Canis lupus familiaris: one gene and its partner. The protein of the gene in region 1 purifies or fractionates together with the protein of each later gene. This does not show direct contact. Links are inferred from orthologs where the notes say so. Each region holds a gene or a part of one and is shown on either strand. Other genes may lie near its edges. The genes, in order: NUFIP1 and ZNHIT6.

What was found.
Region 2: the proteins of NUFIP1 (region 1) and ZNHIT6 purify together in Homo sapiens (affinity purification with western blotting; 3 studies listed by BioGRID and IntAct, with this or other methods). This does not show direct contact. The link is inferred for Canis lupus familiaris from reciprocal best matches to the Homo sapiens genes NUFIP1 and ZNHIT6.

Annotation. Positions count from the first base shown.
Region 1 is NC_049243.1:6,040,928-6,057,878, reverse strand, and holds the end of NUFIP1 (nuclear fragile X mental retardation-interacting protein 1), read right to left. Parts: intron 14,321-16,951; coding exon 14,204-14,320; intron 8,315-14,203; coding exon 8,097-8,314; intron 6,462-8,096; coding exon 6,345-6,461; 3' UTR 5,310-6,344; downstream 1-5,309. UniProt on the Homo sapiens protein: Binds RNA.
Region 2 is NC_049227.1:62,903,348-62,920,298, forward strand, and holds part of ZNHIT6 (box C/D snoRNA protein 1), read left to right. Parts: intron 1-7,210; coding exon 7,211-7,279; intron 7,280-8,307; coding exon of another isoform or gene 8,308-8,368; exon of another isoform or gene 8,369-8,383; intron 8,384-8,656; coding exon 8,657-8,737; intron 8,738-10,188; coding exon 10,189-10,266; intron 10,267-16,951. UniProt on the Homo sapiens protein: Required for box C/D snoRNAs accumulation involved in snoRNA processing, snoRNA transport to the nucleolus and ribosome biogenesis.

The DNA of each region.
Region 1 (16,951 bases):
AAGGACACAATGGAAGACTGGAGAAATCCAAGTAAAGCCTATAGTTGAGTTCTACAAATTAAATAAAAATATAAAAATAACCAGAAAAATGTATAGACACTAAACTGCAAATACTTGACCCAGGCAATGGTGGTATTGCCCTCAAATAGCCAGAGATAAAAGACTGCTGGAAACCACAATAATGGAAACTTTCACACAATCTATGAAAAGGGAAAACTATTATAGGTTGTCCTGGGGGTGCACAGAGACACATTCAAGTCAACAGGTACAAAAGACCGAAAGAAGACCCAGAAAGCGTTCCAAACACTAGCCACAGGTTGTGTTTCACAAGGGTACACTGCTCTGCAGGGCACAGTCTAGGGCAACAGCGATCAAGAACAGAAATTTCAATTCAGGTATGTTCTGCATATGTCTTCTTTATTACTCCATTTACTCACATTTACTAGTTTTCTCCTCTCCCAGTTTTGAAATAATCAATTCGTACGTGCCTCCCAAGAAGCCCCCAGCTATGCTAACAGCAGACTGTTTTGGAGCAAGTCTGCCCTCTGAAGCTCCAGCTTCCACATAGCAGAAGTGGCTTCTCTTCTCCCAGAGCGACCATTCAGTCCACATCAGCCTTGCGTATGGGGCAAATAGTTACTGGACAAAGGAAGTCAATAGGGCAGCTTTCAAATGAATATTAAATATGTGGCAAAACCTGCCCTGGTCTGTTCCTTCAGCAGGAACAGTCTGTTCCTATCTTCCTCCACTCCACTCTCACAACAGTAGTAGCCACAAGCTCTACTACAGTTGGCATGGCCATTTTCACAATTAAATGAAGATATAGCATCCATTTCAGAATTTAAAAGGTCTACTACTTCATGGAGAAAAGGAAGGTGATAATAATAGTAAATACAACACAGGAGTTGAGCAAATATTAAATATGTCCAATGTATATTTTTCTAATCTGGCATTTGTGATAAACAAGGTATGAAATGAAATACACATAATGATCTCAACTATGTTATCTTAACAAGTTATAGAAATTTAATTTGTCTGATTGGATAGCTGATGGTCTTAAGGAATTATTAATTGTAAAGATATGGTGGGGATTTTTTTCAAGTCCTTATCTTCTAGAGACATATACTAATTATACAGGAATAAAGTAGTAAGATGTCTGGGCATTTGCTTCAAAATAATCTCAGGTGGGGTGGGGAGGAATAGGTGAGTTATAGATGAAAATAAGACTGTCCACAGATTGATAAAGCATCGAAGCTGCTATCTGATAGTTGGGAAAAGGGGTATCATTACATGATGCTCTATACTTTTACATAGGTTTGAAATTCTCCAAAATGAAATGCTTTCTAAAAAGCCAGAAGAAGAATTTTTTTAAAAGATGCTTACTCTAAAACAGAATATAATGAATGAAGAAATTAAGTTAAAAGTAGATTAAAACAGCTCTTTTTATGTCTCTTTATGCTTCAAATTCCTTGAAGTGGTATTTAAAAAAAAATAACTGGAGATTACAACAGGGAAGGAGTACAAGATAGAAGGTAATATTGGGGTGCCAGTGGTTTTGAGAAACTTGTAAGTTCCCCACAGTGGTTCTTAAAATGTGGTCCTCCAGACAAACCTCAAAAGCATCACCCATAAACCTGTTAGCAATGCGAATTCACAGGCCACATGCCAACCTCCTTAATTATAATTTTTAGGGGGTAGGGCCCTGCAACCTGGATTTAACAAGCCCTCCTGGTGATTCTGGTGTCCATTAAAGGTGGGGAACCACAATAAAGCTGATCAGACTGATAAAAAGCAAGAGTGGAAAGCCTCAGCCCAAACCGGCCCAAGAGACAACCGAAAGATAAAAGCAATCCCAAGGATACACTAAGCTGAGTGTACACATGACAGAAAGGTGGACGCCTCCAGCTGTGACCATCAAGTCTTAACCTTGCCCACCTCCAAAACCAAATGGTTGGTGGGAGTGGGAGAGCTCTGCCCTGGAGAGAAGAGGTCTATCCTCAGAATAAGAGGTGAAGGTGAGGATGGGACAAGAGCAGAGATCTGCCCATTTCCCATCCATGTACTCCAAACAGTCTGCGTGAACAAGTCCCCGTTTCTCAGTCAAGGTAAACGTCTTTTTTTTTTTTTTTAATATTTTATTTATTTGAGAGAGAGAGAGTACAAGCAGGGGGAGCGGCAGGCAGAGGCAGAGGGAGAAGCAGGCAACCCTCAGAGCAGGGAGCCCAACGTGGGGCTCGATCCCAGAACCCCAAGGTCATGACCCGAGCCAAAGGCAGACGCTTGACCAATGGAGCCACCCAGGTGCCCCGGTAAGTGTCTTTTGAAGAAGGCTCATGCCAATGTGGGGAAAATACACACCCAATCACCAATATATTAATCAAGTGAATATCATATGTAAGAATGATCCTTTAAAGAAAACAAATAGTGTAAAGATAATTAGTAAACTGAACAAATTAAAACAATGGAGTTGGCAATGGAGAATACAAGTAATTGAAGGAATAGAAAATAACATGGAAATTCCAACTGATATCCTCAGAAATGTAAGGATACCACATCAATGAAAAAAGCAGTGAGGCCAAGAAAGCCATCTTGAATATTTAAAAACAAATTACTAAACTTAAAATGAAACAGAAGCTAAAATACTAATGTAATGGACATGCCTGAAGAGGGAATCAGTGATCTGGACATTAATATCTGAAGAAGTCTTCCAGAACAGAGCAAAAAGCCCAAGACAAAACATAAATGTCCAGTGACAGAAGATCAAGGCAGGAGGTCCCACACTCAAAAAGAGTTCCAGGAAAATGAAACAGATAAAATGGAAAGAAAATCATTAAAGAAACCATTTTAGAAACTGTTCTTCATCCAAGAATGGTACAATTCTACAGAGTGAAAGGACCATGGGGTGTGACAAATGTCCCACACACCTAGACACATAATGGTAAAACTTCTAGAGCTCCAAGCATAAAAAGAAAATCCTAAAAGCTTTTCAATGACAGAAAAACAGGTTTTTATCAATAAATAAAAAGAGAAGGTGAGAGAATTAGATTGGTGTCTGATTTTTTGAATCAGCAATACTGGATGCTAACAGACCATCACGTGAATGCTTCAAAATTCTGAAGGGAAAGGATTTTGAACTTAACACCCTAAACTCAATTAAAAAAAAAATTCAAATGGAGGATTCAAACTGATGGATTAATTACCTGATGATACACTGCAGTAAACCAAAAAACTAATCTTGGGATGAAAGAAAAAGCAGTGAGAAGGAAACAGTAATACTTGTATTTGTCTAAATAACTACGCATACTATTAAAACACACACAAACACACACCAAGGTAACAGAAATGAATCCAAAACAAATCCCACACGATGACAGAAGGAGATGTCCAGGAAGGGAAGTGCTACGATGCTAACGGAGAGAAATGGAAGATAGGGCCACTGTATCTACAGACTCAGAGAAAAAGATAACCACTAAAGGAACAGCAATAGGTTTAATTGTCTTCGAAGCACTAGAAAGAAAAATGAAGAGAAAAAAACAACAATCATGCCACTGAAATGCTGAAATAAGATACAAAAAAAAAAAAAAAAAAAGGCTAGGATGGTCCCTCCAAACATTTCAACAATTTCAATTAATATAAGTGGATTAAATTCCCCAGAGGCTATTAGACTGAACTCCCAAAAAGCTGTTTTGACTACATTAATTGAGGGAAAATAGGTCAATGCAGAGAGTACTGAGGACAAGAGTATTTCACAGTTATAAAAGACACAACTCACCACAAGTCATCATATAATGCTTTCTTTTACATTCAGAAATCAGTTTGTTATACGAACAGTTGGACAGGAATGTAGATGGTATGAACAATTAACAAGCTAAATCCAAAAAAACCTTGTATCCAAGGGCAGGCACCCTTCCCCCTGAAAACACTCACAGAATATTTACAAATATTGACTGTGTATTTCATAAAGTAGAAACCACATAGGCTATATGGTGCTTAGAAATTAAATGCACTTGAATTCCTGGGTTAAATATAAAGGCAACTGAATCTGAAATTACCCACTAGAAATAACTGACAGTCACTAGAGCTCAAGACGGCCAGATATAGACAAGGCAATACTCAGAAGAGCAGTTTCAGTCTTAAATACATTTATTAGAAAACAAGAGAAATTGAAAATAAAACTTTGTACAATATACTCTAAAGCAGTGATTGTGAATATCCCTGGAGTTATGGAGGTCTGTGAAAGCAGCCTAGGAGTCTGAATTCATTTAGTATTTAAAGCCTATGGAACTTGCATGCCAGCCTATGATAAAACTGCAGAGTAAGTCAGATTTTAGGATATCAACCCAGTGTATAACGCTGGTTACTTCATCCTGATGAGATGAATTGGGTTAAGAGTCACAGCTATGAATAATGTAAAAATTAAACTGAATCCCTTAAAGTCAGGCAAGCCTCATTCATTTTTCTATTTTTAATCCATGTATACTGGCAGCACATAAATAAGCACTCAACAGTGTTACATAAATTGAATTAAGTAATGTGCTGGACAGATAATTTTCTAAAACATGGGATTCATTGCAGGAGGAGAGTTAAACAGAATAAAAAGGTCTGTATGGTGGGGCAGCCCAGGTGGCTCAGCAGTTTAGCGCTGCCTTCAGCCTGGGGCATGATCCTGGAGACCCAGGATTGAGTCCTAGTCGGGCTCCCTGCATGGAGCCTGCTTCTCCCTCTGCCTGTGTCTCTGCCTCTCTGTCTCTCATAAATTAAAAAAATCTTAAAAGAAAAAAAAAGTCTGTATGGCAGTTACAAAGTTGGGAAACACTGACCTAAATATGAATTTTGATCTTTGGTCTGTAGTATCATAGCGTTATATGCCAGGTGTTCCCGGATTCTGGATAGGATCTTATAAATATAGGAACAAGAGATCTTTCTTCAGGGCTGCCATCAGCTTTCTTGCTTGCCTTTTTCTTGCAGGCAAGACTCATGGACTTCAATAATCACAATGTTAGAAAAAATTCAATTTTTCAACCACATCAGATTAATTTTCTTTTAAATTTAAAAAAGGAAGGCTCCAGTTCTAGCTAGCACAAGCGACTAGGACATAAGATCAAAACCTCTGATATTGGGACACCTGGGTGGCTCAGTGGTTAAACATCTGCTTTCGGCTCAGGGCGTGGTCCCGGGGTCCCAGGATCAAGTCTCGCCTCCGGCTTCCTGCAGGGAGCCTGCTTCTCCCTCTGCCTGTGTCTCTGCCTCTCTCTCTGTGTCCCTCATGAATAAATAAATAAAATCTTTAAAAAAAACAAACTCTGGTATTAAAAAGACTCAAAAAAGATCTGTTTATTTAAAAACATTTTAAAAGGGTTCAATTAAGAAATATGCTCAGTTTTAAATATTAAAACTGAGGTTTTACATTATTTCACGAACTACAGTTTTTGCTACAAATTAGATGGACCTCATCAAGTACCATGCTTTACATTTGAGAAATTAAAAAGGTCCAATTCTGAACCATACCAAAAAGAAGCACTTCCAGTGAATCTAAACATACACAGAGGCCTTATCTATGTCAATATTCCAAACATTCAGTATTTGAACTACTTAAATAGTGTCAATAGGTGAATTTCCGAATGTCCTTGGAAATAAACTGGGAAATTTTAAATTTCAAGACCTTTTGAGTGTATTAATTTGATATGGTTTATTATTTAAATAATCCCCCTTGCTACAGTTAAAGGATGATTCTCATTTTCCTGCATTTAGACAAAATGACGGGGCAGGTCGGGTGGCCCAGCAGTTTAGCGCCGCCTTCAGCCCAGGGCGTGATTCTGGAGACCCGGGATCGAGTCCCACATCGGGCTCCCAGCATTGAGCCTGCTTCTCCCTCTGCCTGTGTCTCTGTCTCTCTCTCTCTGTGTCTCTCATGAATAAATAAATAAAATCTTTAAAAAATAATAAAATAAAGACGAAATGACTGTACTTCTCTCCGTAACCTACAGCTTTGCTCAATTATGTTTGCTGAATTAAACATTTTTAAGGTCTTTTTCTTTACTACTAACCCAATATCTTCAATTTTTGACTGGTCCCACAGCAGACTTCCTTACCTGACAGCAATAATACAAATAAATATAAGTAAAAAGTAGAACTCTACCAGCAAATATTAGGCAAACCCCAACAATAGAGACAGAGTCTTAAAACCAGTTATGTATTTATTTGCATAGATTCAAAGGAAAGAATTAAAAATCCAACATAATATTTCATAAGGTCTACAATTATTAATCCAGTTGTTTTTTTTTTTAAAAAAGGTTTTCCTCCACTAACTTTAGGATGGGCCTATTTCACATGAGTGCTGGTACCTATACATCTTTAGTTTTTGCAGAATTAGTATTAAGTCCAAAAAAGTCCTTTTTGATGATGTACCGAACACACTGTAAAATCACATTTCTTTCATGTCGAATGTCTGGAGCTAAAAGCTAAAAAACAATAAATAAAATGATTAGCTGGTAAATAAAATATATCCAGGAAACACAATCTAAAATATTATATATACCTTCTCCATATAAAGAATACAGAATAAAGATATATATTTATAATAACTTATATTTATAACCTATATATAAATATATATTTAAATCATTTCACTAAAAAAATAATGCAAGAACATTTCCTCTTAACTTACACCAAGACTATCTAGTTTTTAAACAGCATAAATGTTCACATTTTCAGTCCTTTCTAGGAGTATCTAAACAAAGGACAGGAAATGTAGGTTTAAAAGTCTGTAATTCTTTAACCTACAAATCATGTCAAAGAGGACCCTCTTAAACCTAAACCTACAAACAGTATAGAAACTTATAAGCAGATACAGTAAATATAGTAGTGATGAAACCAGCAGTAAAAAATCCCAACAGTCCTGGATTTTTACAACTTTTCATTTTTGTGCCTGTTGCAATTGAAGGCAATCTAAAAAAATTCCTGGTATTTAGAAGAAATACATAACCAAGGAATCATATATGATTTGCCAAAAAGGGTAAGATCATTCAATTTATTTTCTGATGTTATTAGTTTAGAAACATCACAGAGGAATGAACGTTCTGTGAAGAGATGATTTAATTTACCACTTACAAGGTATTTTAAAAATGCAACTTACTTTATATAAACACTGAAATTTATAAAATAAAGAGTACACTTCAGATCAATTCAAATAAGAAGCAACTGGGTCTCCATGTAACACCTCAAAGAGGGTAGCCACAGAACACCTTAGCTACAGTGTAAGCATTTAGCTGACAGGGCAAAAAGGACTTTTCACACACTGTCAAAAGTTCTAGGGGATCCCTGGGTGGCTCAGCGGTTTGGCGCCTGCCTTTGGCCCAGGGCAATACTGGAGTCCCAGGATCAAGTCCCGCGTTGGGCTCCTGGCATGGAGCCTGCTTCTCCCTCTGCCTTTATCTCTGCCTCTCTCTCTCTCTATGTCTATCATAAATAAATGAATAAATCTAAAAAAAAAAAAAAAAAAAAGAAAGAAAGAAAGAAAGAAAGAAAGAAAGAGAAAGAAAGAAAGAAAGAAAAAAAAAGTTCTACAAGTCTAGTAAAAATTTTGGAATATTTTTCTATTACCCTTAGTATGAAAGAACTGGATCTTTGAACAGCTTCATGTCCATTACTTAGAATCAAAAGATGTGCTGCTTCCTCTTAAAATGTGAAGAAATAAGATTTTTCAGCACATCACACTGAGAATAAAGCCAATAATGCACAAAATAAACACATAAAAACCTCTTCCTCCTTTTAGTCTGCCATTGTACTTAGCTGTGCTTTCAGTGAAAACTTTAAAAATGTCAGTACACCTTAATACATATTTCCTTATCAATTAAATCTACAGATTCTTTCATTTTTAGCAGTTTTAAAAAGTGTAATGATTCCACATTTACTAAACATCAGCTATATGCCAAATGCAGCTTCAAAATTAAGATACACAAATAAGTCTTCAAAGAATAAAGGTCTTTGGTGAAGTTAAAAAGCATGCATGCATGAACCCATGCAGAAACCCAGTGGCTCTGGCTTCATCACCTGAGAAGAAAAGAGAGATCAGAATGTAAAGAAAAGTCACTTACCATTTCCAGGAGATATGGATGGTGTGTCCTTGGTTCAAATAAGGTATGATAGTTGTGATAATCTTTTTTCCTCTTAGGGTTTGTCTTTTTAAAACTTTTCTTTGGGCTCCTATAGTTTTTAACAGTCACTTTAACATTGTTCCTTGATCTCTTAGGAGTATTGTTATGAAGAACCTCATCTTCCACCAGAATGTCTGCTTCAGTCTTAATGGGAGCTTCTAAATGTGATGAGAACAAATACAAAAACAATAAAAAAACAGGTAAACTTCCAAAAATAACCCAAAAAGTCATAATACTCCCCCCAGTAGCCATAATCCTGGCTACTTATTAATAAAAACTAGGCATTTTCAATGCAGTACAGTATTTTTCAGATTGGAAATATAACTGCCAATAATTGAAGAGATTACCACAAAGAGCTGCAGGAAGTGATCTCGATGAAGGAAATAGTATCAGATGGAAACTTGCATCTACCCAAAGGAATGAAGAGTGTCAGAAACCGTCAATATAGGGGTAAATACAAAAAGACATTTTTTTCTGATTTGAAAAAGGTTTTAAAGATAACTGACTACTCTAAGCAAAAATAGAAACAATGTATGTGGGATTCATAACACCTGTAGGAAAATCTGATAACAAGAGCATAAAGGAAGGGAAGAGGAAAATGTAAGTATATTGCTATAAAATTCTTAAATTACATATATGAAATGGTATAATACCACTGAAAGTATATTGTGATAAGCTGAAGCTACATACTATATATAGACCAACTCCTAAAAAGCAAAACAAAGAGGTTCAACAAATAAACCCATATTTACACTGCCCTAATAATAAGACAGCATAAATCCAAAGGCAAGAAAGAAGGAAAACAGAACAAAGACAAAAAGAAACAGCCATATCAATAATTACAATATATATAAATAACTTAAACATCCCACTTAAAAGGGTGAGTGGTCAGACTGGGGGAAGAGAGAATGTGGGGAACAAGATCAACTACATAATGTCTACAAGAAACCAACCTTAAATTGTTGGCAGTTCTTGCTTTGCACAAACAGAACGGAGATGAAATCTCAGTTATCAAGGAAGTATGAAGCAAAGACTGTCTGTGACCAGACACAGATTAAAAGCAAAAGGAGGAAAGAAAATACCATACATATAGCAATCATAAAAAAGCTGGATCGGCTACATCAATATCAGACAAAGGAGACTTCAGAATAGGGACCATCACCAGGGACAAAGAAGGACAGTTCATAAGGATAAAGAAATCAATTCATCAAGAAGATAAAACAGTAACACCTAATAACAGAATTTCATTATACGTGTAGCAAAAGCTTAAAAGAACTGAAACAAGAAAAAGACAAATCCATTATTAAGGTTAGAGACAATTTTAACACTTTGCTCTCAGTAACTGAAGAACAATTAAACAGAAAATGAGCAGGAATATAGAAGACCTGAGTACCCTAACAACTCAAACTGACAAACACTCAATCCAAGATACGTTTTTGTCAAGTTCACATAAACATTCACTTGTGCTAGGCTATAAAACAAGTCTCAATAAGCTGGAAAAACAAAAAACAAAAAATGCCTGGCAAGTGTACAAAGTATGCTCTCTGACTGTAACAGAATTCAAGTAAAATCAGTTAACAGAAAACTATCTAGAAAACCTCCAATCTCTGGAAACTAAACAACATATGTCTAAATAACCCATGAGTTAAAGAACAAATCATGAGATGTTAGAAAATATTTTTTAAAAAATAAAAATGAAAACATAATGTAAATTTATAGGATGCAGCTAAAGCAGTGCATGGAGACAAATTTATAGTTTTGATTGCTTTTATTAGAAATAAAGAAAAGCCTAAAATCAATTATCTGAACTTCCACTAAATCAGATAGTGAAAAGAGAGGAAATAACAGAGTGAAAAATCAATGAATTACAAGCAGACAATAAAGAAAAATATAAATAGAAAAATCAGAAGTTGGTACACTCTAAAAGATTAACAAAATTAATAAACATCTAGCAAGATTGAGCAAGAAAAAAAGAAAAAAATACCATTTAATAATATGAGGAATCAAAGGGGGGATATCACTACAGATCCTACAGATATCACAAGAAAATATTATGAACAACTTTATGCCAATAAATTTGACAACAGAAATGAAACAGATTTTTTTGAAAAACACAAATTACCAAACTGAACAAGAAAAATCAGAAAATCTGAATAGTCCTCTACCTATTAAGGAAATTTAATTCATAATTGAAAGTCTACCCCCTCCTCTAAAATGCCAGGTACAGATAACTCCATTACTGAATTCTACAAATAAGACAAAATGGTAGCAATCCTACACAAAGTCTTAAAAAAGAGGTGGAGGAAATAGATCCCACTCATACCAAATCCAGACAAAGTCATTATAAGAAAAGAAAAACACATCCTTCATGACCATGGAGGTAAATATCTTTAACAAATAAATAAAGATAGTAAATAAATATCTTTTATAAATTATTAGTAAAAGACCAAGTAGATTTTATTTCAGGAATAAAGGTTGGTTTGATACTTGAAAATCAATCAATATATTTCACCATATTAAGAAGAATAAAGAAAAGAACCATATGATTAGTTGAAAACTGACAAGTTTTAAGGATCTCCTCCTCTCACTCCTAAAATGGTTATTCTGTATTTCTGACAAGGTGATATGATATAAAGAATTCAATTCTAGAAGGTGGGAGACTGGGTTCAATTGCCTGGACAAGAGTATAGGAATCTAATCATATCCCTCAAAACCTTCAACACCCAAGTATTACATAAGACCAAATGTGATAACTACCTTTGAAACAAAGTACAGGGTAATAAGTCTTAGAAGCATAAATCCTAGTCCCAAACTGTTAGGTTCAAGTTCTAGTTTCATCACATACTAGTTGCGATCTTCAGGCAAGTTACTTATCTCTGCCTAAATATCCTCACAAATAATGGCACCTGCTACATGAAGTTACTGTGATAACTAAATGAGTAAAGCACATAAAACAGGACCTGACCCAGAATCAACAATATATAAAGAATATGCTATGACAGGGGTGCCTGGGTGGCTCAGTCAGTTAAGCATCTGACTCTTGATTTTAGCTCAAGTCATGATCTCAGGGTTGTATGACTGAGCCCCCAAGCCAGGTTCTACATAGCATGGAGCCTGCTTGAGATTCGCTCTCCCTCTCTACCCAACTCAAGTGCACATCATGCACACTCTCTAGCTCAAAAAGAAAAAAAAAAAAAAGAATTTGCTATAATGATAGTGGTTTTGATGTGCCCTCAAAGTGATAGAAAAAAGAAAAAAAAATCAGAAATGTAACCATAAAAGGAGCAAAGAATTCAAGTGGTTTATAGAGTTCAAAACTATGAGAATAATAACAAAAGGCAATAAGAAAAGACAGAGTTCTAATTTCTATTTTTCCCTTCCCCTTCAAGTATTGGTCTTCCAATCCAGGAATACAAAAGTCAAATGAATCAGAGCTTACACTGTCAATTTTCTGCTAAGGAACGAGGAACCAGAACCATTTATATTTTTCTTGAGGCTCACAACATTTCCCAGCTTAGTATCATATTTTAATGCAATGTTTATCAATTCAAATAAATTTAAAATATAACCACTGCACTTTTTCAAACCTATAAATCCTTTTTGGCATGTGGTCTTTAAACATGAGTTTTCAATGGAGGACCTCCAGTCACAGCCCAAATCATTTTGAAAAAACAACAATTTTGGAGAGCTATAAAACTGTGCTTAACTTCTAACATGGCAAAACAAAAACAAAAAACTAACATGTAAAATCTGGAAGAGATTTCAAACTAATTGATTTGGAAATATTACTCATTGAAATTTTCTTTCCTATGTATAGCTTAATGATTTTGAAATCCCCAAAGCCAAGCTTAGCCTCTTGTTTTGTTTCAGTCTTTCTTAAGGGACTCCTTCCTTGTTTAAAACTGTTTCTGGAAAAAAAGCACAATTCATGTTTAAAATCCTCTATATACCTGTATTAACTCCTAAGTTGAGATAGATATTAACTAAGATGATACAATTGTTTAAATCTGTGAGGAATCAGAATGCTCCCCTCCATTTAAAATCCACTTAAGTAAGGAGCCTTCTAGATGCTATTTCATAGCTCAGAGAAAGCCCACTTTATTTCTTTGGTTTATTTCTTCCAAAGTCCCTATGTGTCAATATGCTATCCTACAGCCCAGAATTTACAATGGAAGTTGGAAACTTGCTAGTGACCTGGATGGCTCAATAAAGCTGAATTCAAACTACATAAAATAATTCTTAGGCCTTAGGAATGTGAAGCAAAGGCTTTTTCCTTCAAGCAGGGCATTTTAGACAATCAGTAAAAATAAATTCATATAAGGTAAAATTTATCTTTTAATAGACAATATCTTGTTATCTTTAAGAAAAGGCTATGCATTTCTGTTCAGGAAGACAGTAAATGTAACACAGAGAATGCCTAAAACGAAAGTTGGTGTTTAAGATTTTTCAGTCCCAAACCTAGGCTTTACAACAGCTCTGCCACATACTAACTTTGCAAAGAAGTTAAGCTTAAGGTTCCATAAATGAAGGAGTGGAATCTCAAAGATCACTCCCAGTTTCCTTTCTTTCTTCTAATTTAAAAATGGTGGCAGCCTCAAAATTAAGACATGAGAATGAAAGTATTAAATGTTTCATCTTAAGAGAGAGAGAGAGAGAGAGAGAGAGAGAGAGAGGAGAGCATTAGTGCAACTTGTTTTTATAAAATTCAGTAATCTGGTAATAGCTTTCATTGCTATCACCCGTCATAAATACAAGCGATAAGCAAGAAATGTAATATGTGTTTAAAGAATAACTCCATCTTCATATCAGTGTACTGGAAACAAGAGTAAAGAAATAAATACTGTTTTTCTTAAAATTAAAATAAAAACAAGAAGAGGCAACCATCAGTTAAGAAATACTCTGATAAGGCCAAAGTAGTTTGTATTTCAAAATTCAAGTAGCTTTTAACCAGCTACCACAGTAAACCACGGTCCATTAAAAAAAGAAGAAAAATCCCTATGTTACGGATACATCTAAACATTATCCTTCATATTAAATCCCAACTCTTTCTCCTTCAACATCTTCCAACTACAGAGTGATTATCTCTAATTTAATCAACATTAAAAGTGCTGCCATCTTCATCCAATTACACTCAAATCTTCCTTTCTTTTTACACACTCACTTGCAGACCCTGTACTCTTATCTTCAGTACAGCTCCTACTGTGATTACACATCTTGTACAGAGACACATACACAGGAATTCTCTCATGGTTGGTAAAGCCCAAATAAATTCACCATGCAGAGCCAGGTTTCCAACAGAAGGACACAGACTTATTCATTAAACAAATGCTGATTATTTATATGAACCTTGGGTTTATAATTGACACATTAGATTAATAACATAATAACTCTTTTAGGTGACCCTAAAAAAAGACGCTACGTTAAGCTGGTTTATTATCATCTTTAAAGGTCAGACATGTATCCTGCACATCACTGACTCCTCAGAAAAAACCTTGAAGGAATTCCATTTTATCCAGTCTTTGAAACATACAGGCTAACTCAACCACAAGCACAGAGTTATTGTGTTCTCCAAATGAGGCAATTTATGTAAATATGCTCTATAAAAAATAACGTTCTATATACATGTAAGGAATTCTACCATCCACTTTGTCACAAAGGACCTCTATTCATCTACCAAAGGTGCTATAAACATGTTAAGACAAGAATTGAGAGTAGGAAACAACAAATTAACTTTCTTTGCTGTATCTTTTAGAATTGTCTTTGATTCCATTAATGGCATATTATCTCTTCCCTTTCCTATTCTGTCACTGTATTATTTTTGCCCTTTTCTCCCAGGCTAACAACACATTTCCTCATTTCTCCAGCTTTCCTTTATCCCATGCTAACATCACTTCTGAATCAAATGAAAAATATGAAGATTAAATAAACAATGCTCTTGATACATTTTGTCCTCAGAAAGACATACATGAAATGATGCTACTGATGCACAGTATACATCAAATTCAAAGAGCAATAAAACAAACCTATCAACTGAGGCCATGACTTACCTTCTGGCTCACTCTCTGACCCTGAGAGACTACCATAGCTGCTCATTAGTGAGCACAGGGCTGGTGTCACTTCCTTGGGTATGACCGTACTTTGTGGTTTCTCCTCTTTATCAGATTCTGAAAAAAAAAAAAAAAAACAGGAATGAGATAAAACAGTATACCAAAAACATCCACCACCATAAAAAAGAAAGCTGACAGGTCCCCTACTCCTTATATGTTAGTGAAAAGAAAGTAATTTCTGATCATTTCCTTAATCTTTCCCAAAAACAAAATTCAGGAAACTTGAAATTTTTTCCTTGGTTTATTTACATCTTCATGGTCAGAGAAGCTACTTGCCCCAAAGAGAACACAGAAGGCCAATGGAAGCTATATACAGCTTAGTTACTTACCATGCTTCACACATTACGGAATTTGAGCCTTCTCTAAGTTAATTATACAGTCTTTGCTAATTAATTTATTTTACCTTATTAGGCTATTATGCTATTAATTAATTTTATTAGGTAATAGGAAGGCCAAGGCCAGAAATTTATTTAACTTCACTGGATTAGGAATAAATAATAAAAAAATATCTACTTTTCTTGTTTTTAAGACTAAGTTTTGAGGGCACAAATAAAATTTAACCATTCTATATATAAAAGCTTAGTCAAAGACTTATGCTGAAATGAATTCACCCAAAGTTTTTATTATTTAGAACTTCTAAGAACTTAAGTAAACAAGCCAAGCCAGAGAACTTAGCAAGTACCAAAGAGCCTGCCAAAGGTAAAGCGTTTGATCAGAGCCCATGGAGCCTAGTTGTAGCCTCAGGACACCACCTATTACATTTGTTTTTGGCAGCTCTAAAAATGTATTACATTTAGTCTAAACAATCAATAAAAAATAAAGCCTGACTGAAGAATGAAGACAGGAAGTAACCTGTCTATGTAATGTACCGGCTCAACCCCCAAGTAATATGAAACATTTCAAGACAGCATTGAACATTCACCAAGTCAGTCTAGGGGAAAACAAAACATGCTAGTAGAAATTGGGGCTATACTTCTATGTGAATATGGAACTGCACATACTGGTGGATGAAGTTAAATCCCCTCTTCTCCACCCATCCACCCTACCCAGCACCATACCCTCCAAAAACTGCTCGTCAATTTTAAGGTAACTTCTCATCTTTTCTTATGAATTAATAAAGAGAAAGAAAAATATGCAGTTTATATATAAATTACTAGTGGACTAAACAGAATCTACAAAATATTAATATGGAGACTGTTCATCTCATTGTTTATTTTTTTTTCATCTCATTGTTTAAATGATGATAAGCCAAACTATTATTTCTTTCTAAGACTCAAAGAGAGGTACTGAAAAGCACAATACAGTTGACTATAACACTCTTAAAAGAATGAGTTTATTTAATCCTTAGGAGGTATCATTTTCACTATTAATTACAGATGATGAAACTGAAATTCAGAGAATCTGAGTAACTTTTCCTTCAGGTAACAAAATTATGCAACAATTGGATCAAAGTTAAATCGGGGCTGATTCCAAGTTCCAATTCTTAACTAATGGGCTAGAATATCTCCTACTGATACATAAAGTCCTCTTATTAAAATGAAGCCATCCGGGGGATGCCTGGGTGGCTCAGAGGTTTAGCACCGCCTTCAGCCCAGGGCGTGATCCTGGAGACCCAGGATCGAGTCCCACATCAGGCTCCCTGCATGGAGCCTGCTTCTCCCTCTCCCTGTGTCTCTGCCCCTCTCTCTCGGTCTCTCACAAATAAATAAATAAAATCTTTAAAAAAAAAAATGAAGCCATCATACCAAAATGTCTCTATGGTCAATAAAAATGCTAATAAATGTCTTCTTCCAGCTATGGTGCCATTTCTCCGTTCCCTGTTACAGCAAAACGATAAACAACTACCTGAAGTACTTAGATGTGAACAAGTACAAGCTATAGGAGAGAAAGGGTTTGGCTTTGTTCAGTACTGTATCCTTAGAGCCTAGAACAGTACCTAAGTGCTGAACAAATATTTGAAGAACAAACTGTTGCATGAATGAGTAAAGACGAGTTCAAAAAGGCTAACTGGTACTGAACGATAGGGCTAGGAAAAGGTGGAGCCCAACACAAACCTAGTTCTGTCTGGATTCAAAGCTCGTTTTTTTTTTTTTCTTTCTTTTCTTTAATAACATGATTCCATTTTTATTTTTAAAAATAATATACACATGATAAGAAAAATATTAAAAAGATATACAACAAAATGTGAGCAGTGGCTGTCTCTGTAGATTAAGAACATAGGGGTTTTTTTAAATGCTCTTCAGTTTTTGTTTTTATAATCAGAACATAACAGAAAAATACTGGAAAATAAACTCTGAAGGAAAATATTTCCTCGCAATTCAAGAAGTGGAGAGCAAGGCTTTAATTGGCCTACATATCACCTCTTTCCCTGTCTTTTTTTAATAACTTTATATTTGAAACAATTTTAGATTTACACAAATGTTGCAAAGATAGTACAGAGAACTTCCATGTACCCTACCATCCAGCTTCCCCCTTACATAACCGTGACACATTATCGTAGCTACCAAATAAATTAACATTGGTATAATACTACCAAAGCTACAGACTATATTGTAATTTCACTAGTTTTTCCAGTAATACTCTTTGCTTGTTTCAGGATCCAATCCATCATATCACATTATACATTTAGTTATCGTGACTCCTTATCTGTGTCTTCCCCAAATCTGTGACAATCTGTCAGTATTTCTT
Region 2 (16,951 bases), on another chromosome or scaffold:
CCCAATTCCAGTAATTTTAATCCATGCTAAGTAACTACACAGATCCTTTGTATTCACTCTTCCAAAAACACTTATTATGGTACCAATCGTAATAAAATAGATGGATTATTTTTTATGAGGAATGGTTATATTTATTCTTGGGACTTTAAAATTTGCTCTTGAAATGTATTTTCAAAGATAAAATGCCTGTGAGTGAAGGATTATGTAGATGTTTTATACATTTGTTTTTTCCTTGAAGGATTTCAAAATTTGGTAGATTTTCTTTCTGCTTTAAATTAAAATAAGGTTTTATAACTGATGGTGGAAGAAAATGGTTTTCTCCTGAAATTCCTTCAGGTGTTATATACTGCTTCCAAATTTCATAAGAGTTAACAATTTATAGGCTATCTTCCTTTTCTACTGTTTCATAATAAAAGATGAAATCTAGAAAGAAGAAAACTTTAATTTCTTATATCAGGATGCTTGATGTTGCTTGAAATAGAATACCCAATTCAAACCAGTTTGAGCTGTAAAAGGGCATATTATTGGCTGTCGTAACTGAATGTCCTGAGGTAAGATGGACTTCAGAGTTAATAGATAAAATGACTCAATTACATCATCAGTGATCTAGTTTATTGCTGATTCTCCATTATATCTTCAGTGGTGTCAGCTGAATCCTCATGGTCATAGGATGCCCCCGGTAATAGTTTGAGTTGCAGTAAATATCCAAGAGTGCTTCTCTCTGAGCATCACTGAATAGAAAACCTGAAATTCACCACGATTGGACCTCTTAGGTCATCTGCCCCATCCTGAGCCATTGTGTCGAGGAAAACCTAGGATAGTGATTTTCTTAAGCCAACTCATAAGTGCATGTCCCTAGAGATAGGGAATGGGTTCCATTCATCAAAGTATGGTTATGGATTAGGAAGAAAGTTGGTGGTAATAAGAGATTACAAAGGAGGCAATTAAACTATAACTCTTATAAATGATTTCAAAATATGAAGGCAAATATGTAAAATATGACTGAGGTACATTTAAATTAATAGTACATAAAAATACATGGTTATTGAAGTTGCAGTTCTAGTAAGTTCATAATAGTATAGACGATTAGAGCATAGACTGGAATTATTGTACTGCCTGGATTAAAATTTCACTTCTGTCACTTTCCAGCTGAATAATGACCTTGAAATGGACTTTCCTCTTAGGGTTCTCATCTGTAAAATGAAATAATGTCATTCATCTTAGGGCTAGAAGAATTAAATGAATTAATACATGTAAACATTTAGAACAATGTCTGACATATTAAAAGCACTTAATAAACTATTACTACTATTGCTGCTTGCTAGTGCTCTCTGGTAAAAGGACCTGCTGGCAGGTTTGATAGCCTGTAGACTTTACTAATTTAACTAGTGGTGTAGTATTCTAAAGAGTAGACATGTGGAAATTCTAGCTTTAGCTTACTCCCATGGAATCACCTGTATTTAAAAATTAGAAGTAACAATTTTAGGCACATTTGAACTGACATGATATGTCATTGTGCTTCTCAAAAGTAGTGAGAGATATTTCCCTTAATAACTATAAACAAAAGCTGAAGTTAATGTCTTGAATATTTACTAGGAGAGTTAAATAAATAGTAGGGTGATTTGAGTCTGCCACTAAGCCCTTCATTTCATTCTTTTTAAAAAAACCTTTGCTGTTGGTGCATTAACCACAGAATAAAATCCATAATGTTTAACAGAACATTCAGGTCTTTTTTACAATCTACTATGAATCCAGATGCCCAGTTTCATTTCTAGACACTAAACACTAAATTCAGTATAAGCGCACTTTGGTTAGGAACTCATGGCAAAATATTCTTAAAGACTGTGAATATTTCTGTTTTTAAGCTTCATATTTCTGTTTTTAAGCTTCATAATTCAAGGTATTGAATGTAGAATTATTATAATGGCAATAACAGTAATTAACATTTTTTATATATTCTGAGCCCTTGAGATACATTTACTCATTTAACACTATGGTATAAATACTATTGTTATCCCCCATTTTACTGTGAAAAATCTGAATCACAGATACAAATCACATCAAGTTAGAAATTGTTGAGAGTAAGATTTAAGCACAGAGTCCACTTAACTTTTGCCCTGTCTTACCTCTGATCCTTACAGTACAATGAGTATTCTTCCTTTGTACAGTGTACATGAAGAACAAGGTTCTTTCATGTGGAAACTAGCCTCTCATAGCCATATGGAAAGGAAACACAGTGCCCAGGATTGGTGGTTGACTTCGAGCCTAAACAGAAGCCTACCTTGGGCTCATCCCCTTTGTTCACATCCTTAATGACTACTGGGCCTTTAGGAGTGTTCTTTGAATAAGTATTGGTTAGTCAGTGAGAGAGTGAAATAAAAGTTGGTGATTTTTTTTTTTTAGGAATAAAAATATTCAAGCTCATTTAAATTTTATATTAGAAATCTTAGTTCTTAGAATTCAGCCATCATATGTAACTCTTAGCTGTGGCATATTTCTTGAGGAAGATAGCTTTGAAGCTGTAAAAATTATTAGATAAGTAACCCTAGTTCTGGTTGGGTAATAATTTCTGAGATAAAAAAGGAAAGCTCTTAAAAGAACACTTCCAATAATAAATATTTTTAGGTTTAAAAAGAATGTTAAAATTAATCCTGTCCTTTCTAGGACTACCATCCTGTGTTTTCCAATGAAAACATTTTTGGGACACCTGGGTGGCTCAGTGGTTGAGCATCTGCCTTAGGCTCAGGTCATGATCCTGGGGTCCTGGGTTCAAGTTCCACATCAGGCTCCCCCACAGGGAACCTGCTTCTCCCTCTGCCTTTGTCTCTATATCTCTCATGAATAAATAAATAAAATCTTTTTTAAAAAAAGCATTTTTGACTTTGCTGTTTATATAAAAGAGAAATCATTATGTCAAAGATTTAATAGAGATATATAAAGTAAGAAGTCCTTTCATAATGGCAAGAAATAACTATAGTTAAGAGTTTGGGGCACATCCTTCATACTTGTAAACACACGCGTGGACATATTTTCAACATAAATGCCTTCATTTAGCACGTACATTTTTCTTCCCCAGCACATATAGTTCTGCCTCAACTTTTCATTCACTATCTGGATCTGCTCTAATGTATTTAATCAGTTCTCTGATGATATCCATTTAGATTATTTTTTATTTTTTTCTGTTATAAAGAATGACACAGTGGACATGAGCACATGTCATTACTTGTCCAATTGTTTCCTTGAAATAAATTCCTGGGAATAAAACAGTTGAGGCAAAAATATATATATTTCTTGCATTATTAATATTTATTTATAGCTGTTATGAAATTGAACTGCCAGATGCTTACACCGATTTATATTCCTCTCAGCAATGGAAAGTGTCCATTTCACCACAATTGCCTAGTATTTCTAATTTTAACATCATTTTTGTAAATCTGATAGGTGAAAATATTTCTACTTACTTTTGTTTGGTTATAAGTGAGCTGGTATTATCAAACTCTAACCATACTGCCTTGAGATGCCTAAGTTACCTAGGATATCAGGGTACAGTATTTCCATTTGTGAGAACATTGGTAATTATGGCAAGGACACAGTGACATTATTATAGTTGAAGGCATTTTGTTTAATTTAGGGAACAATAGTCTTAATATAGTAGGAGTAATAGTAAATGTTTTAATCTCTGTCCCAGTTCTCATTCAGTGGTGATTTTGCCTCCCAGAAGACATTTGCAATAATTGGGAGCATCTTTTGTTGTCCCAACTGGAGGAGTGGGTGTTGCTAGTGGCATCTCAAGGGATGCTGCTAAACATCCTACATGAGAAAATGTCTCCCTTGCCTCCCTCCTGTCCTGCCTTCCATAACAAAGAAGTATGTGATCCAGAATATTAACACTGCATAGTTTAAGAAAATTTGTCCTAGCCCAATAATTCTACTCCTTAGAATCTGTCTTTATAAAATAGTCCAAGGGGATCCTTGGGTGGCTCGGCGGTTTAGAGCCTGCCTTCAGCCCAGGGTGTGATCCTGGAGTCCCGGAATCGAGTCCCACATCGGGGTCTCTGCATGGAGCCTGCTTCTCCCTCTGCCTGTGTCTCTCATGAATAAATAAAATCTTTAAAATAAAATAAAATTAAAATAGTCCAAAATACAAAAAGGTATGCGTGTGTGTGTGTAATTGGAGCATGTATCACGATATATAATTATGAAAAGTGGGAAACAAACTTAATTCTTTGAAGAACAAACTGATAGTTACCGGGAGGGAAGTGGAGGAAGGTGAAATAGATGGTAGTGCTTATGATGAGCACTGATAGAACACTGCATGTTAACTACGCTGGAATTAAATTTAAAAGTTTAATTTAAAAAATCTTAATTATTTGAGACTTAGATTTGATTGCCCATGGCAACTGCATCAGTTGCCAACTCTAAAGAATTGGCAACAACTTCAGAGATAAATTAACTCAGCCATTTTGGGAATTCTATATACAGTGCCCTTCAACTTCTCTATGTCCATTCTTTCACTTAAGTCTTCTATTCTGAATTACTGTTTGCACATGCTTTTTATGCTACCATTAGAGTTAAAAAGTACAGGCAGTTTTTCAGTGAAGCTAACTTTTAATTTTGTGTACCAGTAGAGTTAAATGATAGACCCATTCATAGAGATAGTCTTTTATTTTTTCTTTACTGTAATTTCATATGGAAGAACAAATGATAAAAAATTGAAAACAGTCATAATGTCTATCAGTAGAGAATGGATAAATAGGTTTTGGCATTTTTCACAAAGTGAAATTCTGTATGATGGTTTAAATTAATGAACTAATCTGATAAATCTAAAGCATAATGTAAATGAAAAGCAAGGCATAGGATATTTAGAGTATGATAACTTTGAAGTAAGTGTTAATATTACATAAAATACTATATTGTTTATAGCTATGTATATATCCATAAAATATAAAACATAAAACCATGGATGGCGAGAATACATACCCAACATCAGGAAAGTAGCTACCTCTGATGATAGATGAGAAGGGAATTCGATCAAAGAACAATAGAAAGGATTATCAACCATATCAATAGCCTTCTATTTCTTGGAAGAAAAACGTATTTCAAATAAATATTGCAGAGTGCAAGTTTCTTAAGTCTTGAGTGTTGTTTATACTCTTTTTCTTGGTTTTAAAGTATTGCAAGATCACATTTTTTTAAGTAAATGTACTTTTCAAATTTGTTCATGTTTGAACTGAGACCAAATGTAGAAAGGTTTTTATAATCATAATTTTGCAGTTATGTTTTATATAATAAAACAGTAGTGAATGACTTCCCTACAACCACAGCTAGTTAACTGTAGCAAATAAAATTATTTCTAAGGGCTTTTCTTCCTTTGTTTTTGGGATGTTTAGTACTTTTTGAAGATATTTAGGGTCTACTGAATGTTAAGAAAGAAAAATGGTTCTTGAAATTACTTAAGCAATGATTGGAATAATTGAATATGATTTATAATTCCATAGGATGATGAGTTCATAATCTTTTTTCTCCCCTGTAATTTAACACAGAAAATACAAATATAGTTAAAAACCATATTATACATTAAGATTTAAAAATCAGTTTATTTCTTACTAAGAAATGTGGAATTGGGTGCCTGGTGACTCAGTTGTTTGAAGGTCCTACTCTTGGTTTCTGCTCAGGTCATGATCCTTAGGGTCGTAAGATCAAGCCACCCTGTGTTGGGCTCCACACTCCACTCAGCACGGAGTGTGCTTGAGACTCTTTGCCTCCTCCCTCTTCCTTCCTTCCTCTTCAGCTCCTCCACACCACACATGCACGCTCTTGTGTGTGTGCTCTCTCTCTCTCTCTCTCTCTCTCTGTCTCAAATGAATAAATAAATAAAATGCTTAGAAAAACAAAACGTGGAATCTCTAAATTTGATGATGTGATGCTCTGCCTATTTCACAGATAATGTACATTGCAGAGTTTTTGTTTTGGAAGAATTATTTATTTAAAACCAGGAACTGTTATATTTGCTTTCAGATTTTTTTTAAAGTTTTTTTTCTCTGAGATTTTAAACATCTGGTCTTTAAATTAGTAAAGTGTGCTTGTGGCTTTGTTCTATCGAAAAAAACAAATACTAAACATGATTGTTTCTTATATGGTAAGTGGTACTTTCAACATAAGCATAATCAAGCATATTTTTTTCTAGCTAAAGCCAAAAACTGTCTTGTTATGAAAGAAAACTTCTATAAGCAGATCTATGATAACTTACCCTAACAGAAGGATTTCTACTTGCTTTTATGGTTATTCTGACAAAAATTTGACTAAATCTTGTGAATGTTTGGTGAGAGCTACTGTACTAGATTGTATTTAAAGAAAATTAGTTGAGATTTTGGAGCCATACTACTAAGGGATAGATTTATAGTGATGCTGGTCATCTGCTTGGATGTGCTTTTGGCCATTAACTTGCCAGTGGATTGTTAGAAATTTCTTCTAAGTAAGGAAAACATGTAAAACCATCATATGGTGAAAACATTTAAATTTCTGTGTTGGATTCAATATTTCGAGCATACAATTTTTTAAAGGAATGGTATATAGTATCACCAAATTTAGGTATGCTAAATAGAACATATGGTCATTATGCTAAAATTAGCCATTTAGTGAATTATTACTGTTGACCCTGTATCAAACCAAAGTTTAGACCTGAAAGCAAAGGGACTCTAGCTTAGAGTGCGTTCTGCTTAGCAACCAACTTGTTGTCTACTGTTTTGCTACTGAATGCACGTACTCATGGCTCAGAAGTGTATCTGCAGCCAGCTGGTCACAACCAGACAACACTTCATTCACCTAATTTCCAGACTAGTTAGGCAAAGACATCAGCTCATTGTTTTTAGTCATAAGCAAATTTATTTGTAAACTTCGAGTAGTAGCACATTGATCTAAAAAACCCCTGAACTGTGAGACATTGCCTTCTAATTCAGGAATATAAAGTCCTTGTAATTTAGAACTGCTGCACTTAATTTTGTTTTCCTCTTAAAAATCCTTACAAGTATATTGTTTAGAAAACAACAGCTTCTAAAATCCTAGAAAAAAAGAAAATAGTAGAAAAGATACATTAAATTCTGAGAATACTTTTTGAATAGTTATCTGAAAATGAAAATTCAGGAGGTTCAATTTGTGCTCAGACTTTTATTATCTAACTTGGTCCTCATAAGATTATCTTCTAATTTAGGAAACAACAGTTTTGTTGGCATGTGAAGCTCCAGTTTCCTCAGAGTCAAGCTGTGTACATAGAAAAAAGGTATAGTATAACCACTATTAAGAGCTTCTTTGTTCTTACTGTGTTTTTGTATTTAAAATAACCCTATTAACTTAAATGTGGTATCGGTAAATGTATGTCAGTAGAATGGATAATTAAGTTGTTATCTTAATACAATTAAGTGCTCAACATTATTGAATGAACTACAGCTACATACATCAACATGATCTCAAATGTTGAATGAGAAAAACAAGTTAAGGAAGAATGCCTAGAGTGTGATTATGTTTGTAAATATAAGATGGTGTACTTTTTAGGAATACTTGCAGAGGTGGTAAAACTCTAAGGGAAATGATTAGCCACAGAAGTCATGATGGTGTTTATTTCTCCAGGCAGAGCAGACATGAGGAGAAAGATGCAGAGAGACTCGAGAGGGTTAAAAACTTTCTTTTTGTTAGAGTTGAGTGTTAATAGAGGAAATGAAAAATGACCCAAAATTCTATGCAAAGATTATCTTGGGCATGTATATGTGTATACTCAAAATTGAAATTAATTTATATAAACAGCTTTTTGTCCTTTTTTCATATTTGCACATTTTTAAGTATTCTTTAAAAATTTTAATGGTTATGTACTATTTGGTTCCTTGGCTTGGGAAAATTTTACAGTTGCTTTTTAAGTAATAGATTAACCGTATATTCACATTTTGCATAAGCTTCCTCTCTTTATAATTGTCATGGGGATTTTAGTGAAGTGAAGAACTTTATTATTTGAAGTTGTATACCAGACTAAAATCAGGGGAAAGGACTTAAATTTTATAGATGGGGGAATATAGCACAATAGCAGATATGAATATGTATAAATGATTGAAGAAAGTTACTCATTCAGAGCAGTGTCTTAATTTTGCTTTTACAGATCTGTAGTTCAAAACAGTTTGCGTATTTACCAGAAAGTTGAAAAGCCTGAAATACTTTGTTTCCAGGGAAAGTAGAATCAATTTTTTACCCGGTCTTATGATTTAGAATGAATAAACTGAACATGCACTGAAATTAGCATCGTTTTCGATCTTTTTTCAGATTTTATATTTCTGCAGCTTTCAAATATATTTCATCCTGCATTCTTTCTTCTCATCTGTGAGCACAGGTGTGTGTTAAAAGAGGCTTCATATTTTTATAATTGATTTATAGGGACCTTCTCAAAATATTGCTTTTTAGGACTTTTTAAGTGTGTCCAAGAAGTCTTTTTGAGCTTTTTTCCTAAGTAATTTTTGCTTTAAAGGATGTTATGTTTTGCCAAGAGTAAAATAAAAGGTGTGTGTTCAGTCATTTAAACAAAAAGCCACAAGATTTAGTAATTCCAAGTTAACACCTTTAGTAGAAAATAAATAATAATATGTTATTGTTTTGTTTTTTTGTTGTTGGAAAGAGTACCAGATGATAAAACTATTAATGAAATCCTAAGGCCTTATATTGATCCTGAAAAGTCTGATCCTGTAATTCGTCAAAGGTATGTCTCAAAAATCTTATAATTTTCTGAAATTATTAAAAATGTTGATGTACTGGTTATGTGCATATTAATTATGTTAAGTTAGGACTTTATTAGACTGTGATTATGTCAATGCAGTTTACTTTCTGTGCCATTTCCTTGGTGTTTACTCAAGGTTTTGTCAGTCATGGATGATGCTTTTGGATAGTAATAAAAACAGTACGTAACACTTAGTACTTACTGTTTTCTAGACATTCATTAAAGCAGATGATAAATATGTATTAATTAATTCCTCACAGTAACCCCTTAAGATAGATTACTGCTGTCATACCCATTTTGTATATGGGGAAACTAAGCCTTAAAGTGGTTAAATGACTTCATATAGCAAATAAGCAGGGAAGCTGGGATTTAAATCCAGGCAGTCAGTAGTGAGACTCTGCACTGTTAACTCTTAAATCAAACTTCTTTAAAATGGAATAAAAAACTAAAAATTAAGAGTTTCCAAGTAACTGTTAAAGACAGGAAATTCTGTTTCAGCCAAGTCTTCATAAAACTAATTAAGATACACTCTGCCTCCTGTCCAGAAATATAGTATCGACAAAAATGGTTAATGTAGCATAGTAGAAAGATTCAGTTATGAATATCTGGGCTAGAATAGCTCACTCTGTCCCTTTTTAGCTATGTGATCAGGAGTAAGTTACTTAACTTCTGGACCTTAATTTTTTATCAGTAAAATGAGAATGTTAATATCCACTAGATAAGGTGGTTTGAAGCTTTGGAAAAAAAAAAAAAAAAGCATATATCAAGTTCCTAGTACAGGGCCTAGCACACAGTAGGCAGCATTTAAAAAGAGAAACTATTATTAGAATGTGAATTAGTTTTCCTGAGCAGGAACCCACTTGACTTTGTTTTCGCCAGATGGTACCTACTTGGAATATGAATGCCTGGTTTGGTTCCAGTGTAACCTAATGTTTCAATGTTAGACTGGGTGGATTCTAAAATGTCTGATTCAATTCTAGTTAAATCTCATCTTCTACTTGTAATAAAGGTTGAGCCCAGACTGAACCAGATCCGTGACCCATATCAAGTAGTGTCTTTGGTACACATATAGTGGTTGAATTTCTTTCCTTCTTATTACTGATAATTCAGTTGTTATCATTGGTCATATGTTTGGCAAGAAGACAAAGTGTCACTAAATTGAATACACTTTTTAAAGATAAATAAAATGGCAAGTTTAATTTAATTTACTTAAATAGACATTTTTAATCTAAGATACTATACGGAGAGAAGAAAGGTAATTTTTAAAAATTCAAATCCTTCCTTAGAAAATATCTTTAACCCCTTTTCTGTGCTTGGATAGTTGGATTTTAAGTATTATTAGCTACTCATAAATGTTTAGTCTTCCATGGATACTATCTTGAAATATATTAAAAATCAGTTTTGTTTCCTTCAATATGACATTTTTATTTCAGGTTGAAAGCCTACATTCGCTCTCAGACTGGGGTCCAAATTTTAATGAAGGTTGAATATATGCAGCAAAATTTAGTAAGGTAAAATTGCTTCCCTCCCCATTTCTTTAAATATTTTCTAATTCTGTAATATAATTAAGTAGCCTGATTAGCTTAAGTAGCCAGTTATTATACTAATATGACTTCCAAATTAAAATTTTAAAATAATCACACTTAAAGGATAAATTCAGTTGAAATATTACTAAAGTTAAAGTATCTTAAAATAGCATTATGAACAAGTAAAAGATTCCTAAATCCCATTTGAACTTACTTCAAGAAATATTCTGGAGATGCCTGGGTGGTTCAGCAGTTAAGCGTGTATGCCTTCAGCTTAGGGCATGATCCTAGAGTTCTTGGATCGAGTTCCTCAACGGGCTCCTGGCATGGAGCCTGCTTCTCCCTTTGCCTGTGTCTCTGCCTCTCTCTTTCTGTGTCTGTCATGAGTAAGTAAATAAATGTTTAAAAAAAAATATTCTGTACAACAGAGTTCTAATGTTCAAGTTTTTGCCTTTGGAAATACAAAAATTCATGTGACCAACTGAGCATTGCATATATTGCATTCTTTGCAGAGAAAAGTAGAAAGAGCCAGGTTATAACAAACCATATTATTTGAGACAGTTCTTTACTATGCTCTGTTCCTTAATAGAGTGGTGATACAGACTACACCAAACCATCTCTGAGAGTTCTGCAAAGTCTACTTTTGTGCCAGTTATGTGTCAGCATACTGAATTACAAAATACTGATCTTTGATGACCTTTGATGCTCTTCCATTGTTAACAAAACTACCAAAGTCAATTCAGACTAGATCTGGTCAGTCTCACCTATGATTCGATTTGTTAACATAGCTTAGAGGTTTTAGGATCCAGGCTTTGAAAGCAGAGCTGGGATTTCAGCCCAGCTTGCCTGATTCCAGTTATGTTAACTTGAGTAAATTATGTAACCTTACTTACCTTAGTTCCCTCACCTTTAGAATAGGGGTGATAATAGTAATTATAAGATTGTCATGAGGGGTGCCTAGGTGGCTCAGTCAGGTAAACATCTGCCTTACGCTTACCTTATGATCTCGGCTTGGATCCTTGGCTTGAGCCCCGGTTCAGGCTCCAGGGAGCCTGCCTTTCCCTCTCCCTCTGCTTGCCGCTCCACCCCCCCTTCTACGCAGACACGCGTTCTCCTTCTCTCTCTCCCAAATAAATAAAAATCTTAAAAAAAAATCCTCATGAGAGATTATGATAGTTCATTCAGCACTTGGTAAGTGCATGCTATTATTATTACTATGAATACAAATAAATGGATTCTTACAAAATGTCTACACATAAGATTACAAGACTTAAAGCTAAGAACAGATTTAAACACCAAATCTTGACCACCTTCTTTTACCAGCATGTCGCAAATACCCTCAATTTCATGTCATTGATCATGGTTCGGTGATGAAAAATTCAAGTTTTCTATAACGTAATTTTTCTCTAGACTTCTTAATTCAGTATATTTACATGCAGTTCATGCTTTAACTCTCCTCCTTCCCCCAGAAGATTTGGGGCCTTAAATGAGAAATGGACAGAAAGTTTTGTGGGTTTTGCAAAGATATTTATTCAGAGTTATAACATCCATGTTAACCAAAATCAGTATTTCTGAAATTGATAATCAGACATTTATGTAATTAGTGAGAAATACTGACATAAAAAGTGCATTTCAGTTTTACTTAGCAAAATCTTAAAGTAGATTTCATACAATTCATGTTTAAACAAAACAATTTGCATCATTCCCTTGGAATTTACCTCCTGTCAATCATTAAGTAATTTTTCTTTTTTTATTATGTTACCTCGTTCAAATTCAGTTCCTTAAAAAAAATCAGTTCCTTTCTTAACATTTACTATATTTAGTTAATTCTTGTAAATGTTACTTAGATTTACATGATGCACTCCTGTGGCTTCAGTTGTATAAGCCTGTTAATAGAACACTTTTGAGGGTTTTTATGAAAAATAAAAGTGCTTTTTGTATAGTTATCTCATCTCCTCTTCTCTAGGCCATGGGACTAAGATATACTCTCCCAAGTCTTCTCCTAACAGCCTGCTGACGTGTCCAGCATTCTAACACTCGTGCACCACATTTATCAACTCCTTGTCATAGACTGCACTGCCAGTATGGGGATAACATGTAAATGGCTCCAGAAAAATCGTAGAAGGGAGACAGTAAAAAGTGCCACCCATCAAACTAAATTGCTTCAGTTATTGCTTCATCATTTCCTTTGTTGTACTTATCAGACCTTGAATTATTACAAATAGCAGCCATTGACTATTTTAATGGCTGCATAAATGCAGTTGTTTTCTTAATAAGTATGTATTTGAAATACCATATTGCTTTTCTAGACTTAATAAAAATATTTATTTTGGTGAGTTTGGGCATCGTACTGGACATGGTCGCCTTATTTACCTAAACTGTTAGGCAAATAACTAATTTTCTTTACCAAAGATAAGGGAAACTACCTATATCATTTTGGTACAACTGCAAAGAACAAAAGGTTTGGATTTATTTTTCTTTTTTAATTTTGTTTTAGTTTATTATGGTTTTTATTTTGTTTCTTTGTTGTTCCCATTTTTATTTCCTTCATTACCAGAAAGAGGGTTTGGAATATTTCCATTTTAAGGCAAACCGAGGAGTGGCTAGTGAAGAAAGGTGCAAGCTCACCAAGCCAGTCAAACTTGACTCTTCGGCATAGTATCCTTGTCTTCCAAAATTCAAGGAAACCAAAATTGTATGTGTTAAAAGATAGGATACTGAGTATTTTAAAGTTTATAATACAGGACATACTGGGCTCAGATAGCATTCATTTTTAACTTGGAAATGTGTACTATAAATGCCTGAAGAGGCAGAGAGGATGGAGATTTTGAGATGGAGATCTCAGCATGTCCTGGCAGACCAGGGTTTTCCAGGAGAGTGGCTGGCAGAAATGCCTACAGCATGGCATGATCCAGAGAGGAGCAGTTGGGAAAATCATTTCATGGAGTTGCATAGAAAGAAATCAGGATACATTAGAGACCAGAACACAGGAAGATACCAGTCAGATCAGAAAGGTGTATTTTAACAAAAAGGGTAACCTGAACCCCAAGAAAAGTAAAAAAAAGTGCACTGAATTGAAGGTCAAATGACCTAATTCTAGGTACTCACCTTCTCTCTGCTTCATTTTCTTTTAAGGTCCTTTATTTTCTCTTATTTTATACTTTATACTTATTTTATACCTGAGCCATTCTGAATAGCATGAAAAGTATTTTGACTTTATCTTATTTACGTAAAAAAGTTGCCATCTGCATTTCCCCATTTGAGTTGTTTATTTGAACTCAGTGATCTATGAAAACATTAAAGAACAAGAAGGGGAAGTTTATAGCCTAGATCCTCAGAAACTCCAGTGAAGGAGTTTTTATCCTAAGTTGGGATAAAGTACATCATATATTTCTGATTTATTAAGTGAGCTTCATGATACAGTTATCCTAATTTCTGTACAACTTCACAGTTTTCAAGTATTTTCTAATCATGAATAATGAAATTAGATACTATGTGAATACATTTAGAAATAGATTTTCATTTGATGTTTTTAATTAAAGATTTTCAATCAGCGTTTTTCAGATAATTCATTCATAGATAGGATAAGATGAACGCTTACATTTGATTGTATATTTAATTACATTTGTATCATTAAAGGAAAGTACATTAAAGATTATTAAAGGTTTTAAAACATTAAGCTTCTAATATAAGATAAGCATGCTAAAATAAGAGGATTTTATTATTTCCTAAAAAGTGCTTATAAGGCAGAAACATGTAGTTTCCTTGTGGCTGTTGATTTTAAATGTATTCTACAATTTACAGCATTCCAGTGACTCCAGAGTAAAGTCTTTTTACCAAATTCTTGATGTTGCCAGTTTCCACTGGCTGTGTTTTCCATTCTTAGAGGGTTTATGACCGTTGTCTCATGATATACCTGGTCAGCTAGAGCAATCTTAAATGTTTCCCAATTTTTAGCTTTGCCATACCTGACTTTTGTTTTTAGATTTAGGGGATTATAGAATCCATGTCTAACCCTAAGGAATTTGCTGCTGATCTGTTTGGAGTTTTCAGAATACACGGTGTTTGAATTTGTGTTTTCTTATAAAAGCTAATATGACTTCTTAAGTAAATTCATGTATTCATTCACTTGCAAATGGTGATTCTCACTGTGGTCCAAGTATCATTCTGGACATTAGAGCGAGGAGAACCATTCCTGCCCCTGTGGAGCTTACATTCTCAGTGGAGGAGAAGTATGAAAGGTGCTTGTTTTAGTGGAGCACTCTTTATCTCTTGCCATTCCATTTCTTCACCAACTCTATTCTTAGAAAGTAACTGAGTAGTTTTGAAACAAAACCCATGTTGGTAATGTCAGGTACTATAAGAGGCGGTCATTGTATTTGCTGCTTTCTCAAGTTGTTACTGACTAAAGAATTTAGAGTAATCCCAAGTTTGGTACTGTTCATTCAATTGTAATTTCCCAAATCTATATTCTATATTTTACTTATTAAAGGAACCATTGATTTCCCATAAAGAAGTTAAGGTATATTTTGTTAAGTTTAACAACTTTGTTGTTTTGATATTTATATAAGGTCATTTTTGGTTTTGGGTTTTTTGTGTTTTTTTTTTAGGATTTATTTATTTGAGAGAAATAGGGTAGAGCAGAGGGAGAGAGAGTCCCAAGCCCGCTTCACTGTAAGCGCAGAGCCCAGCATGAGGCTTGATCCCACAACCCCAAGATCAAGACCTGAGCCGAAATCAAGAGTCAGATGTTTAACCGAGTGTATCACCCAGGCACCCCTATAAGGTTCTATAGTTTTGATAAAGATGTGGCTTAAGATATTATAGGATAATTCTTTCCAAATTTACTCAAAAACCATTAATTAAGTACATCTTATCTTCAAGGTATATAAATAAAAACTGGGGTTTATACAAGAATGAGTTGAGTACAGTTCTATAGTGGGAGAAAACAAACAAGAAACTAAAGTGACAAAAAAAAAAAAAAAAAGAAACTAAAGTGACTGACTGAGGTTTCTGGCATGAATCTGTTTTTCGAGAGATGCAGGTAGGGCCTGGAGAGTCTAAGGGCACATTGAGTTTTAAATAGAGGTGGCATCATTTTCTCAAACATTATTGTCAAAAAGAACAGCCTGTTTATAATACTCCTTTGTTAATAGGGTCCCTTCAGAGTGAGATTATATTATATTCCAGTAAGAAATAATAATGTTATCCTTTCAGAATACATGATCTGTGGAGAAGTAGACCTGATTCCAGACTAGATTTTGTAGACCAGAAGTCTCACCATTGTAAACACTAAGCTTATTAGACCACTGCTTCTCAAACCTAGCCCAAATTATGAGATGTTCCAAAATAACCTCTTTGTTTTTATCCAGAAACCTACATCAACATAGGTTTTTTTATAAAGTCAAAATAATGTTATAAATTTGATTCAAACCTTGGAAAGTTATTAAGCCCATTTTCCCACCTGAAATTGGGGATCAGAACAGAAGTATTAGTGCATGCATTGTTATGAAGATTTCTTTGAGATGTTAGCTGCTTATTAGCACAATGCCTGGCACATAGCAGATCATTCTCAGTAAATACATATTATTTGTCTATTAAAAGGTGCAATAGGGGCACCTTGGTGGCTCAGTTGGTTAAGTGTCTGCCTTCTGCTCAGGTTATAATCTCAGGGCCCTGGGATGGAGCCCTGAACTATGCTCCCTGCTCAACAGGGTGGGGCTTCTCCCTCTCTCCTGCATGCACGCATTTGCTCACTTTCTTTCTCAAATAATAAAATCTTTTAAATTATAAAAAAAAAAAAGAGTTGTGATAGCCAGCAGTGGACTATATTATGCATTTTTAAAAATAACAACTTGTTTCAGTAATTTCATATTTCTTAAACTTGCAGGAAGTACCCCAAGTTCAATATTAGCTATACTCCCAACATGCTCCATTTAACCACATGGGGGTTAGTTTGTATTTCTTTTAACATAAATCAGATATTGGGAGATTATAAGATTTGAGGAGTTTGTGTACTTAAGGTGTTATCAACTATTATTTCTGTATGATGACTCCCAGGTGTAGATGTATTTTCAACCTTTCTCCCAAATTTCACATCCTGGTTTGTAGCTATCTTGACTTACACATCCCATTAAATCTTCAACGATTTAGACCTCGTCACACCATATCTGTTTCTTCCTGGTGTGTGTATGTGTTGTTTTAAATAGAGATTAAATAGGTTGATTATGTTCCTGGTATCTAATAAGCAGTCAACAAATGTTGATATTTACTCCTTGTTACTGGCTGGTCATTCCTGTAGTGAGACATAAGACCTTAGAGCCATCTTTCGCTTCTCCTTACCACCCTGACTTAATGTAGTTGCCTCCATAATGAGTCTCTCCTCTCCATTTTTCTGAGTAGACTATTGTTTATCAGTGTTTGCAGTGGAGCCTATCCCTTCCCACCAACTGGATGTGATTTGCTTATCCTTTGAGCCTTAAAAATATGTTGTATTTCTCAGAGTTTCCTGCAATCATCTTATTTTTCTCCCAATAAGATTTGTCCTATTCAATGATAAACTCCCGTTTGAAGACAGTGACTACATTAGGCATCTTTTTATTTCCTGCAGTACTAAGTCAATGACTTTCCCACAGTAGTAATTCAGTGTTAATTTTTTAATATGTAGTAT